3 linked regions of the Diceros bicornis minor genome follow. The protein of the gene in region 3 interacts with the protein of the main gene of each other region in a pairwise test. Links are inferred from orthologs where the notes say so. Each region holds a gene or a part of one and is shown on either strand. Other genes may lie near its edges.

The links.
Region 1: the proteins of SORBS3 (region 3) and VARS2 interact in binary tests that used the Homo sapiens proteins (3 or more experiments, as listed by UniProt). The two-hybrid records come from large-scale screens. The link is inferred for Diceros bicornis minor from reciprocal best matches to the Homo sapiens genes SORBS3 and VARS2.
Region 2: the proteins of SORBS3 (region 3) and SOCS7 interact in binary tests that used the Homo sapiens proteins (3 or more experiments, as listed by UniProt). The link is inferred for Diceros bicornis minor from reciprocal best matches to the Homo sapiens genes SORBS3 and SOCS7.

Annotation. Positions count from the first base shown.
Region 1 is NC_080753.1:34,261,421-34,268,588, forward strand, and holds the start of VARS2 (valine--tRNA ligase, mitochondrial), read right to left. Parts: upstream 4,514-7,168; 5' UTR 4,397-4,513; intron 4,202-4,396; exon of another isoform or gene 3,900-4,201; 5' UTR 3,873-3,899; coding exon 3,672-3,872; intron 3,547-3,671; coding exon 3,465-3,546; intron 3,349-3,464; coding exon 3,248-3,348; intron 2,961-3,247; coding exon 2,839-2,960; intron 2,727-2,838; coding exon 2,660-2,726; intron 2,561-2,659; coding exon 2,463-2,560; intron 1,893-2,462; coding exon 1,811-1,892; intron 1,640-1,810; coding exon 1,520-1,639; intron 1,063-1,519; coding exon 951-1,062; intron 217-950; coding exon 128-216; intron 1-127. Other genes in the region: GTF2H4 (general transcription factor IIH subunit 4), read right to left, coding at 4,807-4,979, 5,447-5,525, 5,687-5,734, 6,410-6,540, 6,742-6,874, 7,120-7,168. UniProt on the Homo sapiens protein: Catalyzes the attachment of valine to tRNA(Val) in a two-step reaction: valine is first activated by ATP to form Val-AMP and then transferred to the acceptor end of tRNA(Val).
Region 2 is NC_080757.1:38,365,261-38,372,428, reverse strand, and holds the start of SOCS7 (suppressor of cytokine signaling 7), read right to left. Parts: upstream 4,398-7,168; 5' UTR 4,285-4,397; coding exon 3,311-4,284; intron 1-3,310. UniProt on the Homo sapiens protein: Substrate-recognition component of a cullin-5-RING E3 ubiquitin-protein ligase complex (ECS complex, also named CRL5 complex), which mediates the ubiquitination and subsequent proteasomal degradation of target proteins, such as DAB1 and IRS1.
Region 3 is NC_080750.1:71,325,975-71,333,142, forward strand, and holds the start of SORBS3 (vinexin), read right to left. Parts: upstream 4,496-7,168; 5' UTR 4,315-4,495; intron 1,818-4,314; 5' UTR 1,763-1,817; coding exon 1,661-1,762; intron 1,395-1,660; coding exon 1,280-1,394; intron 1-1,279. UniProt on the Homo sapiens protein: Vinexin alpha isoform promotes up-regulation of actin stress fiber formation. Vinexin beta isoform plays a role in cell spreading and enhances the activation of JNK/SAPK in response to EGF stimulation by using its third SH3 domain.

The sequences.
Region 1 (7,168 bases), on a different chromosome or scaffold from region 3:
GGAGAGAAGTCTTAGGAAAAGGAAGTAGGAGGAGGAGAGAAGGAGCTACCATCCCAAAGGAAGGGAAGAGAAAGCTGTGGGTGTACAAAGGCCGAAGGCCGGGGACAGGGAGCGCACTGGGTATTACTGTGTATCGGGAGTCGTGGGGATGAACAGCCACAGCCACGTCTCCAGGCAACGTCTCTGGCCTCGTGGTTCCCACCACAACCTCTGCGTCTGCAAACAAAATTCAAGCACGTATAGCTGATCATCACCCTGCCCCCTCACTCTCGACACAGCTAAAGCCAGGAGAACTGGCAAAGGGACAGGGCAGAGAGCAGTCAACATTGAGCAGGCCCCGAGGAGCCCCCAGGGGTAACTAGAGAAAATTAGAGCCAGGGCCTATAGGAGCCTGGGGTTTCCGTGTAAGCTAATGACCAGAGGCCTGAGAGGGTGTCTGGTGCTAAGGAATTCCTCAATAACTTGCATAGAAGAAATAGATATAGTGTTCATAAAAGCAACCAGAGTCCTTGCTTTGTACCCATAAGACACTGGGGGTTCGCAGAGCCCCAGTCACAAATGCTGTGCATTTCTTGGGGCTAGCACCAGCCCTTCCGACAAGAAACCTCCTCTGACTATTCCAGCTCATCTATCTTCCCCTTCTCTGAAGTCTTTGGAACACTTACTGTCCAAACCACACTTTAGAACTTTTGTCTCTTTTGGAGGTAGCAGCCTCCTGCAGAATTATGCTAAATTCCCAAAGGGCGGTGACCACATGAACTTTTCTTACATGGCCCAGAATACCCATGGTAAGTGCCCACAAGAACGCAAACACTTTCAAGGTTCCTCATGCCCCTCCCACCAGGTCACATGGGAAACAGGCTGGTGGTTCTCCCCCATTAGCCCAACATGGCTCAAGAAAACAGAGGAAGCAGAGGTAAGTGGGCAACCCTTCCAAAGACTACCCTCACCAGGCTCTCCATCCACGGGGAAGGCCACAGAAACGAGAAGGCCAAAAGACACTGGGGTGGGGCAGCCAGGCAGTCGAAGCTCCGTGCGGCCAGGCAGGGGCCGGTTCTCCACCTGGGGGCAGCGAAGGAGGGCTGGAGAGCAGCATTTCTGCAAAGCTCACACCCAGCCTTCCCACCTCCACTCATCCATCCATGCCAGCCTCCCTGCAACCCATCTGAAAGCCATTCAGAGGATTCAGAAGCCACCTCCCTCTCCCCTCACCTAACTCTTGTGCAGTCAGTTATAGAAAATTTTCAGTGAGCACTTAAACCACGCACAGGTATCATGCTAAGCACCTTCCATGAGTTCTCATTTAATTCTCACAACACCCCCATGATGCAAGCATTTCCATCATCCCTAATTTACAGACTGAGGAAACTGAGGCTGAAAGAGGCTAATGGCCTGCCAGAACTCACACAGCTGGTAGATGGCAGGACCCGGATGTGAATCCAGGCTGACTGGCTCCAGAGTCTGAGCTTTCACCCTGCCTCAGCACTCTCTCAAACCTGCTTCTCTTTCTCCGCCTCACCTCAATATCCGAGATGGCTGATCTTAAAGCACATGACCAGTTGACAAGCTGCTGGCTCCGGTACAACAGCCCCGCCTTGTGGAGTCGCACGAAAGCTTCGGTCACAGCCACTGAGGAGCCCTAGAATGACCTGAGTGTCCACATCCAACAGCCCCTTCCCAGCCCATCGCCCCACTCAGGGGCCCAGGCATTCCCACCCTCCTACATCCAACACACACAACAACCTGCCTCCCTGCACAGGTCTCTAAACACCCCCTGACACCCACAGGGACCAAGACATGGAACACTCACAGCATCCATAGTGAAACACTCTCGGTCCCAGTCCAGGGAGGCCCCCAGAGCTCGGAGCTGCTCACAGATCTCTCCACCTTTCCTGTGCCCAGAGAGATTTCCATCAGCAAACATGTCCTGACCGCCAACTATGAACCAGGCCCAGTGATGGCCCCAGCAATGCTGAGTACTACAGTGAGTGTGCCATTGATCTGCCCTCTGGAAGCTAATGGAGACAGACTCACAAACCCAGGAGTTTAAAAGAAGCATAACAGAGGAGGGGACAGCTGATTTGTGGGAAACCCAAAGAAGCTTTACAGAGAAGACGGCATGTGATAACAGATCTGGAAGAATGAAGGTAATTTCACGCACACGGAAAATGGAAATGGGTGACAAGAGGTGGTGAAATGTAGGCAAAGGAAAATGGGATAAGTGGAGGAAAAAAACATATATATACATATGCACATATACACATAAATATATACAATTTAATGTATATCACACACACAGCTAGGAGACCCCATCAAATGCTAAGGGGCTCCAGAGCTTATGTCTCCAAAGGAGGTTAGGGCTGGATGGGAAGAGCCACGATTACAAGTTAGGACAGAGTGGCTGGGAAGCAAGCATCTCCACCTGCTCTCTTGGCCCCTCCACCCCTGCCCATCATACTCACTCATCCTTCCACTTCCACACCTCCCTAAGGAATTCTTCTCGGCTCAGCTCGTGTCTCCTCACTCCTCGCTCCTTCCATAGTTGTTTTTCCACCACAGCCTACAATAAGATTAGAGGGCAAATGAACAGAGAATCAGGTTGCTTTAGGGGAAGAAATCTCTTTCACTCAAGAAAAGGAAAAAGTGGCAGAAGACATACTTGGGTAGCAATTCCTGCATGATCTGAGCCAGGGACCCACAGCACCTGATCCCCACGCATCCGGTGCCTGCAAAAGAAATATGCTCATGTGAATCCCTGGGCTTACGTGTTTATCCTCACTCCTTCCCACGCTTTCTACTTCCCCTCCAAGAACTCAAGCAGCCCCATTCCCCTCTCACCAGCGCACAAGGGCATCCTGTATAGCCACTGTCAGCGCATGACCAATGTGTAGGGAGCCAGTGACGTTGGGAGGTGGGATACACATGGAAAAGGTCTCCCCTGTGGTCTGGGGCAGCTGGGTCTAGAAGGAAGGAGAAAAGTCAAATGGCAAGAGAGGACTGGATGTTACCTGAGAGGATAGCACCCTCTGGTGTCTCCAAGGCAGAAAGAACTGCAGGGAAGGGGAAAACATGATTTAAAAACGCTTTGGAGACACCAGGGCCAGAAGGCAAGCGCTCCCTGTTTTTTGACAGGCTCTGCAATGTGGCTGGCTGTGAGCTCTGGGCTCTGAGGCTCAGCTGTGTCCACCAACCTCACTCACCAGTCCATCCTGGGGACCGTTTAGTCCCCCTCCTGCCATGTACTAACCTGATATTCTGGTTTGAAGAAGCCCTCTCGCACCCACCATGGGTACCAGGCAGCCTCAACATATCGGGGGCTGTATGTAGGGGGCAGGGGCTGTGAGACATCTGTGGAGGCAGAAGAGAGCTCCACTAACTCCTGAACTTTGTTCCCAGGCTGCATTTCAGCAGATCAAATGGGCAACAAATATGGTGAGAGAAACGACCTTCAAGTTCCTAGTTACCTTTCTTTTCACCGGGTTCCGTGGGGATTTCATACAGTACTATCTCCTTAGGAGCCCAGGCCTTACTGGATTCTGCTGGTGACTAGGGGGAGGAAGGACCAGAAGGGGGAGATGCAATTCCCAGGATACCCCAGGCACCCTCCAGGATACTCCAGCTCCCTCCCAAGTCTTCTCATCGAACCAAGGACAAGCTGTCTGACCCCTAACCTTGCTCTTCCGGGCTATCCCAGCCTCCAGTGCCGCCTGCTTCTCTCGCAGGCGCTTCTGTTTGGCTTCACGGTTCTTCCGGGAGATAGGGGATCCATGGGGCTCTGATTGAGTAGAAAGCGGATGGGACCTGGGGAGGCCCCGTGAGGGCCTCAGCCCCCAAAGCGGTGGTCGAAAAGAGGCCAGAGGCAAATGAGGCATCAGGAGTGCTTGGAAAGGGGCCAAGATCTGTTCCAGACAGAGTACATTAAAATATGGGGGTAGCGGAAGGTCATACCCCCTAAAGTCACACCCTATTCCTTATTCCCTGCCTCCTACTAGCACTGGTCTGTTATTCTAAGTATCTATCCCTTCCCACACAACCCTTCCTCCGTGAGGACTAGCGTGCGTGGTGTCGACAGTAACAGGTTCCTGAGGGTCACGGAGATCAGGGCTCTTCTGGGACAGGATCGGAATCTCTGGCCCTCAACGTATTCATCCGCGACGCGGAGATGACCGCTGACACACAAGTGGGGAAAAGTCTCAGGGATCTAGGAGGATGATCTACATCAGCGCGCCCGAGCGCCAGCAATGAGTACCCCCATTATCACTGCGATCTCGGCCTGCCCAGAGCCGCCCGCCCCGCCCCCAGGCCTGTGCGGCCCGGCCTTCCCGCCGATCCAACCGCGTGGGCCCCGGGCCCGCAGCGCCTCCCACTCCCCAGAAGCCGCCTCACGCGCGCTCACCGGGCAAGCCCGCCGCTATCCCAGGGCGGCCCGCGGCGGCGGCAACAAGAGCTGCATGAACCGGCGAACCCGACCCCGGAACGAGACCCACGATCCGCTCGGCGCCGGGCGCCGGAGCTCCGCCGGGCGCATGCGCAGTAGCTGGCCTCGGCCCCACCCCCTTCCCCTCCGAGTCGAATGGCCGTCGACGTCGAGGAGCGCGCCACCGCGGAGAGGGGAAGCCCCGCGGAGAGGCGCCCCACCGCGGAAAGGGGAAGCCCAGCGGGGAGGCGCCCGGGCCGCGTGGCTGACTTCCACAACTTTATTAAACAAGAGTCCCCACGTGTAAATAAAAAACGCCTGAGTTCTGAGGCCACAGCCGGCTTGGCCCGCCCCGCCCAGCCCAGGTCCGGTCCGGTCCGCCCGCTTCCTCAGGCGCTGTGCTTCTGCCGCTTCCAGAAGCGCTTGACGTCGCTGTGCCCGGCCGGCGTCACCACCATGAGCCGCTTGGCCGAATTCTCGAACACCAGCACGCCCAGCTCCCGCGCGTGGGCCAGCAGCAGCTCGAAGTCCACTTGCGACAGGAACTGGTTATACAGGACGCCTGGGTCCCAGGACGGCAGTGGCGGGAAGAGAGAGAGAAAAGACCAGAACGTGAGGGAAGAGCCCCTATGGCAGCCTCAGGGCAGGGGTCCGGGCTTGCCACCCACCACAATTTAAAAACTAATCCTCTATGCTTGTCTGTTCCAGGGACCTTCTACCACTAGTGTGATCCAGCCATATTCAGGAAGGTGATATAATACAATAAAAAAACCCCTTAATGCTCAGCAAAACCAGAGATACGTGAATTATCCCTCCCAATTTCCCTCTTCTAGCTAAATCCACATTGCACTGATTTGAGACTATTTATTACTACCAACTCACCCTAAAATAACAAGTGTCTTGCCAGCTTTTCTCTCCCAGCCCATGCGGTAAACAAATAAAATGCATTAATAGCTTTTTCAGCTCATCAAGACTGAACTGTCCTTCCTCTGGCCAGTGACCAAGAATCACCCACCAGAAGCCACTCACCCTCGGTGAACCGGAGTCTGTCTCTTTCCAGCTCCCACAGCCTGATCTGGTCAGTGATGGTGGGGGGCAGCACCGGTGTCTGCAGGGGCAAGAGATGCCTGTAAAATTCAGGAACACTGCCCCAGACACCCCCAGCCCTCCACTCATTCCCCAGACTTGGATGCCCCTTTCTCGTTTCCATCCCTTCATCACCAGGTGCCAGGGGCTGTCAGCCTCCAGCAGCCTGGCACCTGTTTGTACCTGTTTAAGCATCACTGGGTGGGCCCTTGTCCTTAGGAAATGGATGATCTAGGAAAACAGACAAGAATGGGATCAAGGGCTTGAGGAAGAAGGTAGGAAAGCTACCCAAGCTGTCACCTAAGTCATTGGAACATCAATTTACTGTTTAAAAACTCATAGCCACGTGCCTGTAGTCAACTCAACCCATCCCTGTTCAGCTGTTGTCTCAAGTGGCTGTTCCCATTGGTCATGTCTGCTACTCCTTCTCTGGCCCTTCTTGTAGTCTTGTTTTGTTTTTCTTTCTTTAAAATAGCAGCAGCTATTATTTTGTGAGGACTTACTGCCTGGCAGCCTCTGAGCTACATGCCTTACCCTCTATTCTTTCACTGAATCCTCCCAACAACCCTATGAGGTGAGAACTGTCATTATTTCCATTTTCCAGATGAGGAAACTGAGGCTCAGAGAAGTGAAGCAACTAGACTGTTTATGCAGCTAAGAAGTGGTGATGCCAAGACACAAATCCAGAGCTGTACCTCCTCCCTCCATGTTTTTTCCCCTTGAGGGTCTGCCTGTTCCCACACCTAAAGCCTTGACTTCTCAATGCCTGGTGATCAAACACAGACAACTCACCACCACCTACTGTAACAGATCAGGTGCCAGCTTTCTGTAAGGTGACCAGCCTGTACCCCACGGCCCAAGTGCAGCCAGTCCCTTCCTGCCCCCACCTCCCACAAATGGAGATACCTGCTGGGCTGTGATGCCACTGGCAATGGCCTGCTGCACGCTCTCCCGGGTCACCTGTGCCACCACCAGGTTGGGGAAGCGATAGAGCATCTCAGAGAAGAGGGCGATGAGGGCAATCTGCAGCTCTGACTCTGAACCAGGGTAGGAGAAGAGGATGAGGCTCCCCCACACCCGGACTCCCTCCAGCCCTTCCTTCAGCGTGACGAGAAATGTCAGAGAGCTCTCTAAAACCTCCAGGTAAATGTGAACATAAACTGGCATTCCCTCCTGTTTCTGTCCCCCAACCCACTCCCATCTCCAACCTGCTCTCCAGGGCCCCTGTCCGGCCTCACCCGTGTAGGCATACAGTCGGTAATTGGTTTCCACGACAATGAAGCCCGGCTGATGCGCAGTGCCCCCAGCCCCTGAAACACCTGACGAGAGATTGATGGCCAGGCGCGTGGGGTAGTAACGCCGAGACTTCCTCTGGAAAGGATAGAAGGGAAAGGCAGAGGGCCTCAGGTGTCACCGCCCTACATCCTCCTGAGACATCAGATCCCTCCCAGTGCCCAGAACCTCGACTCCCAACTTCTCGCCCCCAAGGGGCCCAAGTATTCAGTCCTGGCAACTGCTTCCTACTACTGCGTCCCACGACCCCACTCCTTTTTAAAGGGCAAGGCAACATACCACCTTGCCTCCTCCCTACAAGCCACGTATCTGGGTGCTCATACCTTCCTCTGGAAAACAAGCCCGAACTCACGTAGATGTTGCAGGAAGTTC
Region 2 (7,168 bases), on a different chromosome or scaffold from region 3:
AGACAGAGATTTCTGAAGCCAGGTTGCTCATTCCAAAAGAGAGCTGCCAACCACAACCACTTGGTGGAAAAATAGGTAAAAAGATCAACAGAATATGGACCCAAAACCCAAACATAAAGTCGGAACTTCCTCAGCACACCATAAAATCATTTTGCTCTCAGCATGTCATGCTATTTCTCAAAAAGACCCCCTCAGACCTGAAGACCCAAGAAAACAGAGAAAAGGGTTTCTCATGATTGCCAGGTCTGTCCACGACAGCAGGGCCCCAAACTGATGCCAAGGCAGCCTGCCTCTCTTCCAGAATTCTATCTTTTTTTCCAAACAAATAGATGGAAACCACTATAGAACTGTTCTCCATTTTTCCACCTCACAACTATGAAGACTGCCAGTTAACTCAACTGTTAACTGGGAAAAAACAAACCTTGACAAATTAACAAGGTACCCATTTCCAACCAAGTGTATATTATGTGACGATTCAAAAAGGTCAGATCAAATGCTGTTTCTCACCAAATACAAAGGAAGATAATCAGCTCAACATATGTGAAACAGACAAGGGAACTTCACTAGTTTTCCTGAAATAGCAATTCTATATTACACCAAGGCCCACAGGCATCAAGCCCAGCTCTTTGAATTCCAACATATGTGTGTTACAAGGCCTAGCCCAGTTCTCCAGAACAGAAACCTGATTAGTTGGTGGGCCCATTTTTTCCTTTACTTGAAAAGAGTTCTCTAGGCTAACTCTTGCTAGACCCAAGACTCAGTATATCCAGGCAGTTCCACTCAGCAGGCTAAAGCATCTGAAAGGAACTAAAGTTGTGCTTAATGTTAAAATATGAAAGATTATAAAATGATTGTAGGAAGTACTTTCTAGTGATAGCTGTGGGAAAGGTAGATGTTGAGAAGAGCAAAGAGAATCATGCCCAGAGGTTACTGTAGCAGCCCCAAATTATACAGCAAAGACTGCAGAAACTCATAATTAACTCCAACCAACAATAAGGAGGAAGGCATTTACCTTCTGGCAAAAGACTGACACTTCTCATGGCTTCCAGGTCCCACCAATCAAAACAAGAGAACAAGCTAAAAATCCAAACTCATCCTTCCTCCCAACAGGGCAGACTTACTTAGGAGGTGCAGATCCGTAGAAATCACAACTACCGCGGCCAGACTTTACCAAGTTTCTCACAGCTGCGAGGCTGCCAGCAAGACTGGCACATAGTAAGCTGTGGAAAAGCTAACAAGCAAATCTAACAGCACCAAATCCTAAGCATTAAAAAAATAAAATAAAATAACCAGTTCAATCTTGTTACTTCTCCTCCAAAAGCACAAAATATTCCATCTCAATTTCTCTTGTCTTCACTCTATTTCTATGACAGGAACAAGACAGGAATCACTCCCATTTTACAGATGAAAAAAGGGGGAAGCACGAAGATGACAAAATTAGCCTGCAGCCCACAGCTGATGTTGGAGCTTTAAATGGAATCTGAATGTTCACATTCTTTGTACAACCTGCTGCCTCCTAACAGCAGTCAACCAGACGTTCACACACAAATACCTAGCTCTTCTCCAATTCATCAGAAAAAGCCCTTGGACCAAAAAATGTAATTCTCCAGTGGCCTGAACTAAGCTTCTTTGCAGAGCTACAGCCCAATTTGCTCTGCAGCAGAAATCTGTATTGTGCTTAGTGTGAGACCTGGTGACAGAGCAGCCAATGACCATTAAATTCTGCTTCCAAAGGCAAAAAACCGTATAATGTTATATGCCTTTTCCTCTTTCTAATCTATTAGACGTAGCAGCTAATTTCACGCCACACCTCATATTTGGCGTCGCAAGAATCTTAGACCAAGTCCTGGTCAATATGGAACAAAGGCAAGACAAACCACAAGAAAATCAGCAATCTATCCTATGTCATTACCCCCAGCTTCAATCCTGCCCTCCCCCCATTTGATGAAAATTTCATCTGTACTGGTAAGTGGAGCACCGAATGCAGAGCCTACCTACAAAAAAAGCTGCTTCAGCAGCCACACACTTTTCAAGACCTGAGCTCTCAGCATGAGTTCATTGGGAGGCAGCAGCAGAAACAGGCCTACCTGCAGGGGCAATGAGCATCAACCTACCGATTCCTTTAGGGAGTTCGGGTTTGGTCTGATCCCCAAGATGAGCCCCTGCGCAGCCGTTCAGAAAGGGCAGCAAAGTCAAACTGACCCCACACTTGGAGTATCCAAGTTCCCTTGAAAAGAGCAGTCTATGGATAAGTGGTTCCCAGTTCAGGTCATGACTTCAGGATCAACTGGGGAGCCTTTAAAAATTCAAATTCTTGGGCCCTCAGGCATACGGATCTTTCCCAAAAGCTCTCCATGTGATTCTGGTGCACAGCAAAGTTCTCAGTTTATTCGTCTACCTGTTCTTCAGCCTTGGGTTGTGGCTGCCAGTGTGTCTCAAGAATCCATCACATGACCCACCCAAAACCAATTCCAATCTTTCTAAGAATCCATTCAGCAGCACAAACCACAATGGCAGTTACCACAAGGGAGGCCTCATTTTGGTGACACAAAAGTTGACACTTTTCTAAACTGATATTACAGATCTAACACTGGATATCAGAGAGCAATCCACCCTCCAGAAATGCAAGAAAAAACTCAATGTCTAAGTTTGGAATTTTCATCAATTGGCCTCAAACTCATGCACCAATACCTCATACTTAGAATTTTCCCATGGGCTTGAGAGCAAAACTATTTTCTGTTCTCACAGGCAGTGGTCAGCACACACACTTGAGATACCAAGTATACCTAAGTGACCAACCAGGAAAACATTAACACTTCGAATAGAGATACCCAATTGATTGCTGGCCTACAACTGCACAAGTTTGTCACATCATTTGCATGCATGAGTGTGAAGGGGGTGGGGTGCTGATACACAAAGTAATAAGCAAGGTGGTCAAAACGCAATACCAACTTTTTGCCCCAAAGGCCAAACATTCCAGCAACCTCGGTGCCAGGGGTAATGGTAGGCAGGTACCTTGTAAAAACTTTAAAAGCTGGGCCAGGGTTGGGGTGGGGAGGATGGTTTCAAATCATCTCCCATCTAGAGATGCTAACCCGCTGAGAGGTTTCACCGGGGAGGGAACTCTTTAAGAGTGAAAGCTGTTCCCACAATTAGCTCCGACCTAATGGGCGATGTCACCACCTTTAGCCCCAAGTCTCTGCCTCCTCATGAAGACCATAACAATTGTCAGGATCGTGTTAGCAACAGAATAAAAGGGAAATGAAACAAGAAGGGAAAGTTTGTCAGCCAGCCCCCCAGCCTCTCTCACCTCCCTGCGTCCAGCTCCCGGCCCGCAGAGCCTCCCATGTCCGTCAGGCTCGCAGCTGAAGCAGCCAGCTCTCCAGAAGGCCTCTTGCCGGCCCCATCCCCACCGCCCGAGCTACCATTGCAGCTCTTCGTCCGAAACAGGCGACTGAGGCGGATTTTGAGGGAGCCCTTGCGAGAAGGGCCCGCGAGTGGCCGGAGGGGCCCAGGAGGAGGCGGGGGCGGGGGAGGTTGCTGCGGCTGCTGCTCCCCTCTACTCAAGCGCCCTGGAAGGACCAAGTCCTGCAGCGGGAAGGGCACCGGGGGTAATTCAGGGCCTGGGGGCTGCAGCAGAAGCCGTCCGCCCCCTCCTCCTCCGCGGCCAGGGCTGCTGAGCTCCTCTTCCGAGCAGCTGTTGGTCTCCAGGCTCTCGGCCTCCGACTCCAAGCCCTCCAGGACCAGCAGCGCGTCGCTCGTTTCCGTGGGATCCTCCCCGGCCTGCGGGGCGGCAGCAGGCGGCTGGGGCTGCGGAGCGGGCGGCTGCGGGGGGCACGGGCACGGGCAGCAACCCCCACTGACCGTCTTGACCCCCGGCCCCGCCGGCTGCCCGAGCCCCAGAGCCGCCAACTGCGCCTCTAGTCCAGCCGCCGGGCCCCAGGTCCGCTCAAGCGCCAACCCCGGCGGCAGGGCCTTCGGGTCCAGGGCACAGCGATGCCGGGGACACAGCAGTTCCGAGGGTCCCGGGTCCGGGGCCGCCTCCGCGTCCTCCTCCTCCGGCGGCCGACCCACGTTGCGGAACACCATCAGCTGCGGCGGCCGGGAACCCCGCGGGCCGGGCCGCGAGAGGAAGGGTGGCGGCGGGGGACCATGGCCCGGGGGCGGCGGCGGCGGGCCTGGCTCGGGGGCCGACTCTCCATAGCCGAGCAGGCGGCTCAGGACGCGGTACGAAGCCGCCGCCGCCGCCGCCGCCTCGCCATCCCGGAGCTCGGCCCCCTGCATCGGGGAGAGGGAGGGAGGGCGGGCGGCTGGGAGCCGAGCTGGGGTGGGGACTAGGCCGGGCCCCGCCGGAGCCCCGCCCGCCGCGGGCCCCGGAGCGACAGCGCTAACGGCCGCCGCGGTCTCTGCCTCATAGAGGGGGGCGGAGGGCGCGCGGAGCCCAGCGCGAGCCCAGGCCGCGCGCCGCCGCCCCCGCCGCCGAGGACCGCCCCCCGATGCCGTCACTTCCGGGAGGCTGTGACCACGCCCCCCTCCCCGGGACAGGATCGTGCCGGCCTCCACGGAGTGTGACGTTGCGCGCGGCCTGGGCCGCTATTGGCCGTGAGCTGCCTCTCGCCTGGTCGTTGGTCCCCCTGCCTCGACCCTGTTTTTCACTTCCCGGGCGCTCTGGCCTAAGCCACCGCTCCCGGTAAGGTGGAGCGGCCCTGGAAAGCCTGGTGTGGTGCTGGGAGAGCCGCTGGCCTTCGGAGGACCTCTGGTTCTGGTCCCGCCTATGCCGCTTGCGATGTGTAACCGTGGCCGAGTCATTTCTTCATTGACTAACTGTATCCCCTTGGCATATTTATGGAAAGACACATGAATAATGTGTTCTAGACCCACTGGTGTGCTGCTAAATGTTGAACAGCCGACCCTCTGGGGGGAAAAGGGGAATGTATGCATATATATAGGTACATAAGTTTATCATAAATTATACTGATGTAAAGGATGTGTAGTGTACAATTTACAAATAATAATGATATGCAATTGCACTTTCATGTAACCAATTGATTCTCACAGAATAATTTCATTGATTTTTGCCAAACTCTGGTATGGGTAGCCAACCTGTGGTTTCAATTGACCGGGGAGTGTAATTGCGACGTGAATGAATGTTGGTTGATATTTTCCTCTATGTCAATGTAAGAGGAAAGAGAAAAACTGTCAATTATGGGAGCAACTTCTTTGCTGAATCAGAAAACAGTTGTCAAGTACTGAAAGCACATTTCCTCAATTTTTGTGCTATTCACAACATATCTGCTACAGACACAAATTTACTCTTTTTTGTGTGTGTGTGAGGAGATCAGCCCTGTGCTAACATCTGCCAATCCTCCTCTTTTTTTGCGGAGGAAGACTGGCCACGGGCTAACATCAGTGCCCATCTTCCTCCACTTTATATGGGACGCCGCAACAGCATGACTTGCCAAGCGGTGTGCGCCCTGGTTCGGCGAACCCTGGGCCACCGCAGCGGAGCGCGCACACTTAACCGCTTGCGTCACCGGGCCGACACACACACTAAATTTAAATCTGAATTATTAACATTTTCTCCATCACTTTTTAGTTTTTTATTTTATTTATTTTTTTTGAGGAAGATCGGCCCTGAGCTAACATCTGCCAATCCTCCTCTTTTTGTTGAGGAAGACTGGCCCTGGGCTAACATCCGTGCCCATCTTCCTCCACTTTATATGGGAGGCCGCCACAGCATGGTTTGACAAGCGGTGTGTCGGTGCGTGCCCGGGATCCAAACCCGGGATCTGAACCGGCGAACCCCGGCCGTCGCAGTGGAGCACGGGCACTTAACCACTTGGGCCACGGGCCGGCCCCTCCATCCCTTTTTAAAATCTAGATAATTGAGGGCCGGCCCTGTGGCTTAGCGGTTAAGCGCGCGCGCTCCGCTACTGGCGGCTTGGGTTCCGATGGGGGCGCACACCGACGCACCGCTTCTCCGGCCATGCTGAGGCCGCGTCCCACATACAGCAACTAGAAGAATGTGCAACTATGACATACAACTATCTACTGGGGCTTTGGGGAAAAAAAGGAGGAGGATTGGCAATAGATGTTAGCTCAGAGCTGGTCTTCCTCAGCAAAAAGAGGAGGATTAGCATGGATGTTAGCTCAGGGCTGATCTTCCTCACAAAAAAAAAAAAAAGACAAGCAGTAGCATACCGTTATGCGATAGTTTCATCATGCAGACACAATAACATAAAAAACCCCAAGAGTATAGGTAAATAATAATAGTAAAATTATTAGGAAATGATGAGTTGTGAGATCTTTGATTTTAATATCATTTGTTTAATTGTTTGTATAATTGAATTGTTAATAGCGACTGTGTTTAACAACTGGCTTGCAAAATTCCTGAAATTTTAACAGTTGGCCTTCACAAGCCTGTAAGAGCCAGCTCCACAGCACCACTAGACTTCAGTTTTCTTATCTGCAAAATAGGGATAAGGATTGCTGCTCTGCTTCCTTGCAGGCATGTTCTGAAGATCAAGTAAGATCAAGCTTGTGTAGAGGAGGTGGGACTGGAGGCAGGGAGACCAGTTAGGAAACCATTGCAATTGTTCCATGAGAGATGTTGGGGGATGCAAAGGATGAGGAGGAAGGATCAGCGAGCAGAACTTAGCAACTTTAGTACCTGAGGGTGCATTGAGGAAAAGAGGGTTGAGGGTCTGCTATGAGTCCTGCAGCCAGAGAGCCCTTTTTAAAATGGAAATTTGTCCATAGCCTGTGATTACAATCCTTCATGGTTTCCCACTGTTCTTAGACTAAAGACACAACTCCTTAAGGAGGCCAATGGGATCCTGTGTGATCTGACCTCTGTCTCTGGCCTCATCTCCTATTAAGCTCCACCTTGTTCTCTCTCCCCTGCAGTTCCACTAGCCCTGGGTCAGGCTCACAGGCATATGGCCATTGCATAAGCTGTTCTCTTTTCTTGAAAGGCTTTTTCCCTCTCTTTTTGCTTGGTAAACTCCTACTCATCCCTTAGATTGAATTCACTCCTCACTACCAGGGAAATCTCCCTGCATGGGCACTTCCTCCTCACTGAGCTCCAAGACCACTTCTTTATTGCACATATTGCATAGGTGTAACTTGTCATCTCTCCGTGGGGTTATTTGATTAAAGTCTGTCTTTC
Region 3 (7,168 bases):
CTTGGAGGGGACAGACCTGAATTCAGAACCCGGCTCTGCCACCTACTGGCTGTGTGACCTTGGGCATAGCAATCAACCTCTCAGTACCTCAGTTTTCACACGTGTAAAACGAGGGTAATCATGGCAAAGATTCAGGGAGATCTCGTGTGTGTGACCAGCACAGTGCCTGATCCACAGTCAAGAGGCTCTCGATAAGGGACAGAAACTCATTCACCAGACGTGGTTACTGTGTCCTCAACTTCCCCAGAACCTCAGCCCCCAGGTCACCAGTATAGCAGCATAAGGGCTGCCAGGCCAGACAGACAAGGATTTTTTTTTTTTTAATAAGTTTTTTATTTTTTAATTTTATTTATTTTTTTCCCCCAAAGCCCCAGTAGATAGTTGTACATCATAGTTGCACATCCTTCTAGTTGGTGTACGTGGGACGCGGCCTCAGCACGGCCAGAGAAACGGCGCATCAGTGCGCGCCTGGGATCCGAACCCGGGCTGCCAGCAGCGCAACGCGCGCACTTAATCACTACGCCACGGGGCCGGCCCAACAGACAAGGATTTGAATCTCAGCTCAGCCTCTGCAACTGCACATCTCTGAGACCCAGGCTCCTTACTGAGAAGATCCTGATAACTGTGACTTACCTTGCCAGGACACTGAGGGATTAAATGAGAAAAGGCTCCAGCATGTTCTAAGCGTTCAACAATTATTTGTTAAATGAATAAACTACTTGACACAGTGCCCGCCTCAAGGGAATGCTCAATAAAGGATGCCATCCTCCTCAGGAAAGGGGCCTTCAGGGTGGGCCTGCACCCCAGAGGTCCCAGGATCTCCCAGAGCCCATAGGCCAGACTGGGGAGGTTCACAGGAGCCCAGGAGCTGAGAGGCTCTCCAACTTTCTGCTGTGCTGGTGAGTACAGACCTTAGGGTGCAGCATCCACCCCTCTACAGCCAACATATGCTCACATTCCTCCACCCTTCCATCCCCGGTCCAAGCTATTTCCTGGCCTGCTGGAGGCCACTCTGGGGCCCAAGGCTCTGTCCCCTGTACACTTCCCTCGCCTGGCACTGGGGGAGGGGAGGGGAAGGGATCTATCAGCCTGCTCTCTCCCACAGCGAATTTCACTCTCATAGGCCAACACGCTCACACTGGGAGGGGCAGTTAGCTGAGCTCAGAGGCCCCCCCATCCCTCCCCTACCCCTCCTGCCAGACCCAGGGTGGTAGCAGATGGCAGGGCCCAGGAGGCTCTGATCCCCCAACCCCCACACGGGACTCCTGAGCAGACCCACCTGGGTGCTGGGAAGCATCTCTCAGTGGGAAGTACCCATTGCATACAGTCCTGGGCGCAGGGTCATGGAACTGGAAATTAAGGGTGTTGGAGCCACCATTCCGGATCACAGGCACCTGTGGGAAGGGGCCAGGAGCAGCAGCTCAGGCCCAGAAGGTTCTGCAGAAGGTGGGAGGGATGGCTACCAGGGCACAGCCAGAGTCCATGGTGAGGGCTCGAGGGCCAGCCTGACCCTTCTGGGGGAAAGCGGCGAGGCTCTCTAGAGCTGCCTCCCAACCCTTCCCTCCCTCCATTCCTTTAATCCTCCTGCCCCTATCTGTCCTGCGAGGTCCCCGCCAACTGTGGGCTCACAGCACTCCCTCTCCCTCGCTGTCTCACTCACCCATGTACCCCGGGAGGATGACCCTAGGTGGGCCCGGAGGTGGCTAGGGATGAAGTCATCCAGGCTGAGCCCAGTGGGGAGGCTGCAGGGTGGGGCCTGCATGCTTGGGTCAAGGTCGGAGGACTCCCGGTGTGCCAGCTGCTCCGCTGTTTGTCCTCTGTGGGGAAGGAAGGAAGGAGGAAGGAAAAGTCCTGCTGAGCCCAGGCTGCTGTGCCCTCTGGGCCTGACCCCAATAGGGGTGGGGGAGGAGGGCACGGCTGTGGGAAGGGGTCGAGACCAGCTGGGTGGGAGCTCAAGGACCCAGGAAACAGCCGCTGCAGGCCCCTCCTGCAGGCTGCCCCATGCCGGCTCCTAGAGGCACAATGGGCTCTTGTTAGGCCCCAGGCAGGAGCTCGGGGTGGGGGTGGGAGTGGGGGAGGGGAAGGCCCAGGCAAGGAGGAGGGGAGGCTGGCTAGGAGCAGGCCTGCTGGACAAAGCCTGGGGCCCGTGGGCCTGCTGGTCAGCCCCTCTGGGGCTCTCACTGCACAGTGCAGCCCGCTCCCCCAGAGGGAAGGCAGAGGGAACTGGGGCAGCTGGCAGGGGCAGGTCTGGGCACTCAGCATTTTGTTTCAGTTCCCTCTGCCTCCCCCAGGCCCTGCGTGCGCATCTGCTTGCCAGGGGGCACAAGGGGTTACTCAGGCCGGGGAAGAAGCCCTGGACAACGGCAAGGCCATCCGCCCACTGCCCAACGGGGCCAAAGTTCTGGGGACGGGGAGAGTGTGGAGGCATTTCCAGGCAGCAGGAACCACTCCTGGACTCAAAGTTTCATCTCCCTTCTTTGGCATCCTTCGCTTGCTGGGACTGAAGCCTCACAGGGCTCAGGGTGCCAGTGAGGAGTGGGAGTGGAGAACGAAGCAGTGGGTAAGGGCTCTGTTGGACTTGCTGATGGAGGGGTGGTGCTGAGTGCCGCACACAAAGACACATACATGTGGGCACACCCCACTGCCTCCTACACCTCCAGGCTCTTTTTTGAACGAAGGATCTTCCTGGAAGCACCATGCCTGACTGGCCAGCCGGGTTCTTCTGCCCCATGCAAGGGTTGGGTCAGGGTAAGGGGGCTGCAGGCACTCTGGAGATGGAGGCAATGGGGCTGTCCAACAGGGCTTTTCTACCCAGAGGGCTGAGGTGTGGAGCCTGTCTCTCCTCACCTGTGCTATTGCACCGGGCCAGAAGCTGAGCCAACCTCCACCACCTTCTGGGGCTAGACCAATTCTGGCATTTTTGTTCAGCGGTTAGCCTTGTGTGTGCCTGTGGTGTCTGGGGGTTCATGGGAGGGCTGCGAGGGCCTTGTGAGGTGCTGTGTGTGTGTGTGTGTGTGTGTGTGTGGTAGAATGTAAGCACAGTGCTGTGAACGCGACTTGGGGAGCGTACCACCCAGGGTCACGTGAGCAGAGTGGGGGTATGGGTACAGAGGGGTGTCAGCTGAGTAATAGGTGGGGGAGAGTGCAGTGGGGGGTCATATGAGCAGCACAAGAGTTATGGGGACCAGAGGGGAAGAAGGTACAAGAGGGGCTGTATTACTCCGGTACCCAGTTCCTGCTCAGGGCATGGGGGGCTGGAGGGTAGAGACAAGGCTGGGGGCAGCTCCCTGTCTCTGGTCTGAGTGAGGATTCCTTCTGACATTCAAAAGACCTATCGAGGACAGCTTTTCCATGCCCATCCCTGGCTGTGGAAGAGTGGAGGGCTGGGGCTGGAGGAGGGGCAGCTCACCAGCTGGATCCAATTAGGCCTCCTACCAAGAGCAAAACATGCAGACCCGCCCCAGTTCTCCTGCTCTCCCTCCCCTTGTGGGGGAAATTGAGGCAGGCAAGAGCCTGAGAACAGAGGCCTGGAGAAGGTTGGTTCCTAGCAGCAACCCCTTCCTGCCCAGCTGACTGCTTGAGGCCAAATTGCCAGGTCAGCATCAGCAGCCCTAACCATCAGCTGACCCGGCCTCCTTCCCTCGCCTCGGTCCCACCCTGCTGTGCTCGTGAGAACTGCCCTCTAGTAGGATGGGGTGGGGGCAGGAGGTCCCCCCACACACCGATTTTTCAGGGGTTGCTGATCCTTGGTGGCTCAATCTGCCCCTCCCCAACACTGTGCCCCGTGGCACCCCCCAGGGATATGCAGGGGTGGGTGGGGAACAGTGGCTGAGTTTTTCTCCTGGCAGCCAGCCAGGAGACATTAAGGAGGACTTATAGGGGAGACAGAGGCACGGGCGAATTGGTCCCACGCCCGGCAGAGGACAGAGGGTACCAGGAAATCTACGGGGTCCCCCCAGAATTCAGGAAGCCCTTCACCCCGGCAGCCAGCTCCAAAGGGCTGGAAGAGCTGCAGAAGCCGTGTTGGAGTCGGTAGGCTCCTTCCCACTTCCAAGTACCGCCCCGACCCCGGGGGCTTGGCTCTCGGCGCTTTCCCGGGTATTCTCCAGCTACAAGTCCACATGGACACGGCCAGGTTTCCTCGAATTTCGCCTTTTCTGAATTGAGGGAGGGCCTCTTACCTCTTTCCACCTCAGAGTTTGGGACGAGGACCCCAGGGGGAGGGGCCCTCTGCCTTCCCTTCGGGTCGGGCGCGGCTCCCTCCCGGCCTGCGGCCCCCGCCCCCTCTCCGCCCCTCTCCCTGCCGGCACCTACCTTCCCCGGCGAGCAGGTGGCGGGGCCTAAGGATGCCCGGGAGCGCAGGGGCATCTCTGCCCGGCTCCTGCCTGGCGCGGCCGCGGCGGGCGCTCGGGCAGGGAGGGCAGGCAGAAACCCGGGCTGTGCCGTCCGCCCTCGTGACCGGGTCAGGACGGGGCCCGCAAGGCCGGCGCCCGAGGGGAGCGGGGGACCGACGGGGCCGAGGGCGCGCACCGCAGGAGGACCAGGAGAGGCGCGGGCGGGCGGCAGTGTCGCCCTTAGTCTGGACTGTGGGCCGCTGGGGGGCGGGGGCGGGCGGCGACTCCCTCTCCCGCTGGCGGCCGGGGGCGTGCGAGTGCCCTCCGTCGGGGCCGGGCGGGCGGGGACGCCGGGGCCCCTGCAGAGGGGGCCGGGCCGGCCGGAGGCGGCGCCGGGAGGGGCCGCCGAGGGTCCCCGGGGAGCCCGCTCGGGTTTCCCAGCTGCCTCTCCCGGCCCCCACCGCAGGGCTGGCGTCGGGGCGGGGGCGGGAGGACCGGCGAGAGCCACTCAGAGTTTCCAGCGACATTTCCAGCGTGTGGGAAGGGAGCCCTGCGCGGCGGAGCCAGGACAGAGGGCAGGACTGATTCAAGAGGCCGGGCCGAGCCAGCAACTGATACGGAGCCGGCAGCCTCGGAGACAGGACAGGGCTGCAGACAGGCTGGGGCCGAGATAAGGGCGCCACGTGCAGAGCGGCCTAGCGGACCGAGTTCAGGTCCCGCCGCCTCCCTCCGCCCCTGGGGAGAGAAATCTCGTGCTTGCGTAAGCGCGTGCCCGGCGTGTGCAAACACACACACACACACAGGCGCGTGTGCACTGCAAACGGGCGGATGCTCACACACGTGCAAGCACCGCGGAGGGCAGCCCGGAGAGGAAATCCACCGACGGGAGCTGGCCCCCTAGGCGAGCCGCGCCCCTGAAGAGGATGAGGGCGGAGTCCCTTTGGCCGGGATGGGGTTACCAGGGTCTTGGTGTTCCCATACGCGTGTTTGTTTTGATCTTGCTGCTTTTCCGCTGTTCCCGCTGCTCTGACACGGGTCCCAAGAGCCCGCGTCCAGTGGCTCTCCACCCCTTGGTCATCCCTCTTCCCCTTCTCCCCCAAGCCTCTGGTGGGCACAGGGCCTGTTATAGAAAGTGAGGGTGCTTACTGAATGTTTACTGCTGATGGAAAGACTCTGGAGTACTTCTTAGCCGTTGGCTTGGTTCTGGGACCCCAAGCTCCAAACCAACCATATAGCAAATAGTTATTGGGCAATTTCAGATCCATTTCGGGAGTGATCAATTATAAATTATGAAAATATGAAAACGTTTACTGCATACCTACTGGGTGTAAGATTGGTGCCCTGAGGCCACCATGCACTTCAGAGTGTTTTCCAAGCACATCATTCAACCTTCAGAAGGAAGAAGGAAGAGAATGGAGGAAAGATGAAAGAATCTTTTCTTAAATTCCTACATCGTTGATGCTATTAGCTTGATCCTTCCTCAATTCAGTTAAAAGATGTTTCCAGTTGGGGTGAACCAGCTTGAAACAATATCACACGTGAAAAGCAGAACGAGATGTTTAGGCTGAGAAGAAGCTTAAGAGAGGGAGGCATGCTGGCTAGCTCCCAGTGTCTTCAGGGTGGTGTGAGGAAACAGACTGGCTGCACCGGCAGAAGTGGGACCATTGGGTGCCCACTTGGAAGCAAATCCAAGGTTTCCAAGGATGAGCTTTTACATGATTACAGGAATTCTGTACTCTGCCAATTGGGGGACACCTTTGTAAAGGCAATGATTGCACGGAGCAGGGAGCTGAACGAGATCACCTTGAAGACCCCTTCCAAGAGTCAGTGATTTTCCAGGACAGCTGAAGGGACAGGGTTGGGATGGGTAGCCCTGCCCACAGACGACAGCTGCAGAAAGGAGTGTAGGAGCTCTCGGACTTCCTGAGGGCAAAGTGCATTTTCCCTTCCCTAAAGCTTGGATACTTACTTACCCACCCCTAGGCACCATCTCCTTCCCTCCCTCAGGGACAAAATATGTGCCCATGTCCCTTGTCATCAGTTTTTTCCCACCTGTCAGGATCCTCACGACTAAGAAGGGCCACATCTTTTTCATGTTCTTCCTTGTTCTCCAAAGATGGTGAAGCTGAAGATCTCCCAGCTCCAGGAATCCTGGCCATACCCTCTCTCACCAGCAGCAAGCTTCTCTCATTCTCTAGGGCTCTGACCTGGACTCCAAGATAAATATTTAACGTAGAGGGTGCAGCTGAGCTGACAATGGTCTCAACTTCCTGTGTGTCACAAAGGGAGGTGGCAGCCATGGGCAAGGAGCTGGGGACTGGCTACCAGTTTCATCTCTATGGGAATAGGGAGTCCAGTAAACAGCTTGTAGGAGGAGGCGGGGTAGGCCTTGCTGGAGGAAACCTGAGCCTTTCTCCTGAGCTTCTTGGACTTCTGCCTGTCTACTTAGGCCCGGGCTCTGCTGTGCTTATCACCTTCTCTCTCAGGACAGAAACTGCTTTGCCCTGGCACCAGTGGAAATCGCCCTCCTTCCCAGAGTCTTAGGCTATGTGCTTGGACAAGAGCTGTAACAGGATCCCTCTATCATGTTTCCTCGTGCCCATCCAGCTTGACAGAAGAGAGGATGAGAGATTGGTGGGAGCATAGAACATAAGGAACCTTGACCGACTCCTCCTTTTCTGCCCATATTTAGGGAGAAGAATCCCTCCTCTTTGAAAAGTGGAAGATTAAAGGGCAAAAAGTACCAAAGTCCAGAGATTCAGCCAAGAAACAGGTGTCTGATTTCTCAGCTCCTCCCTCCAGTCTCAGTTCTACTTGCTGCTGGCCCGACCCCT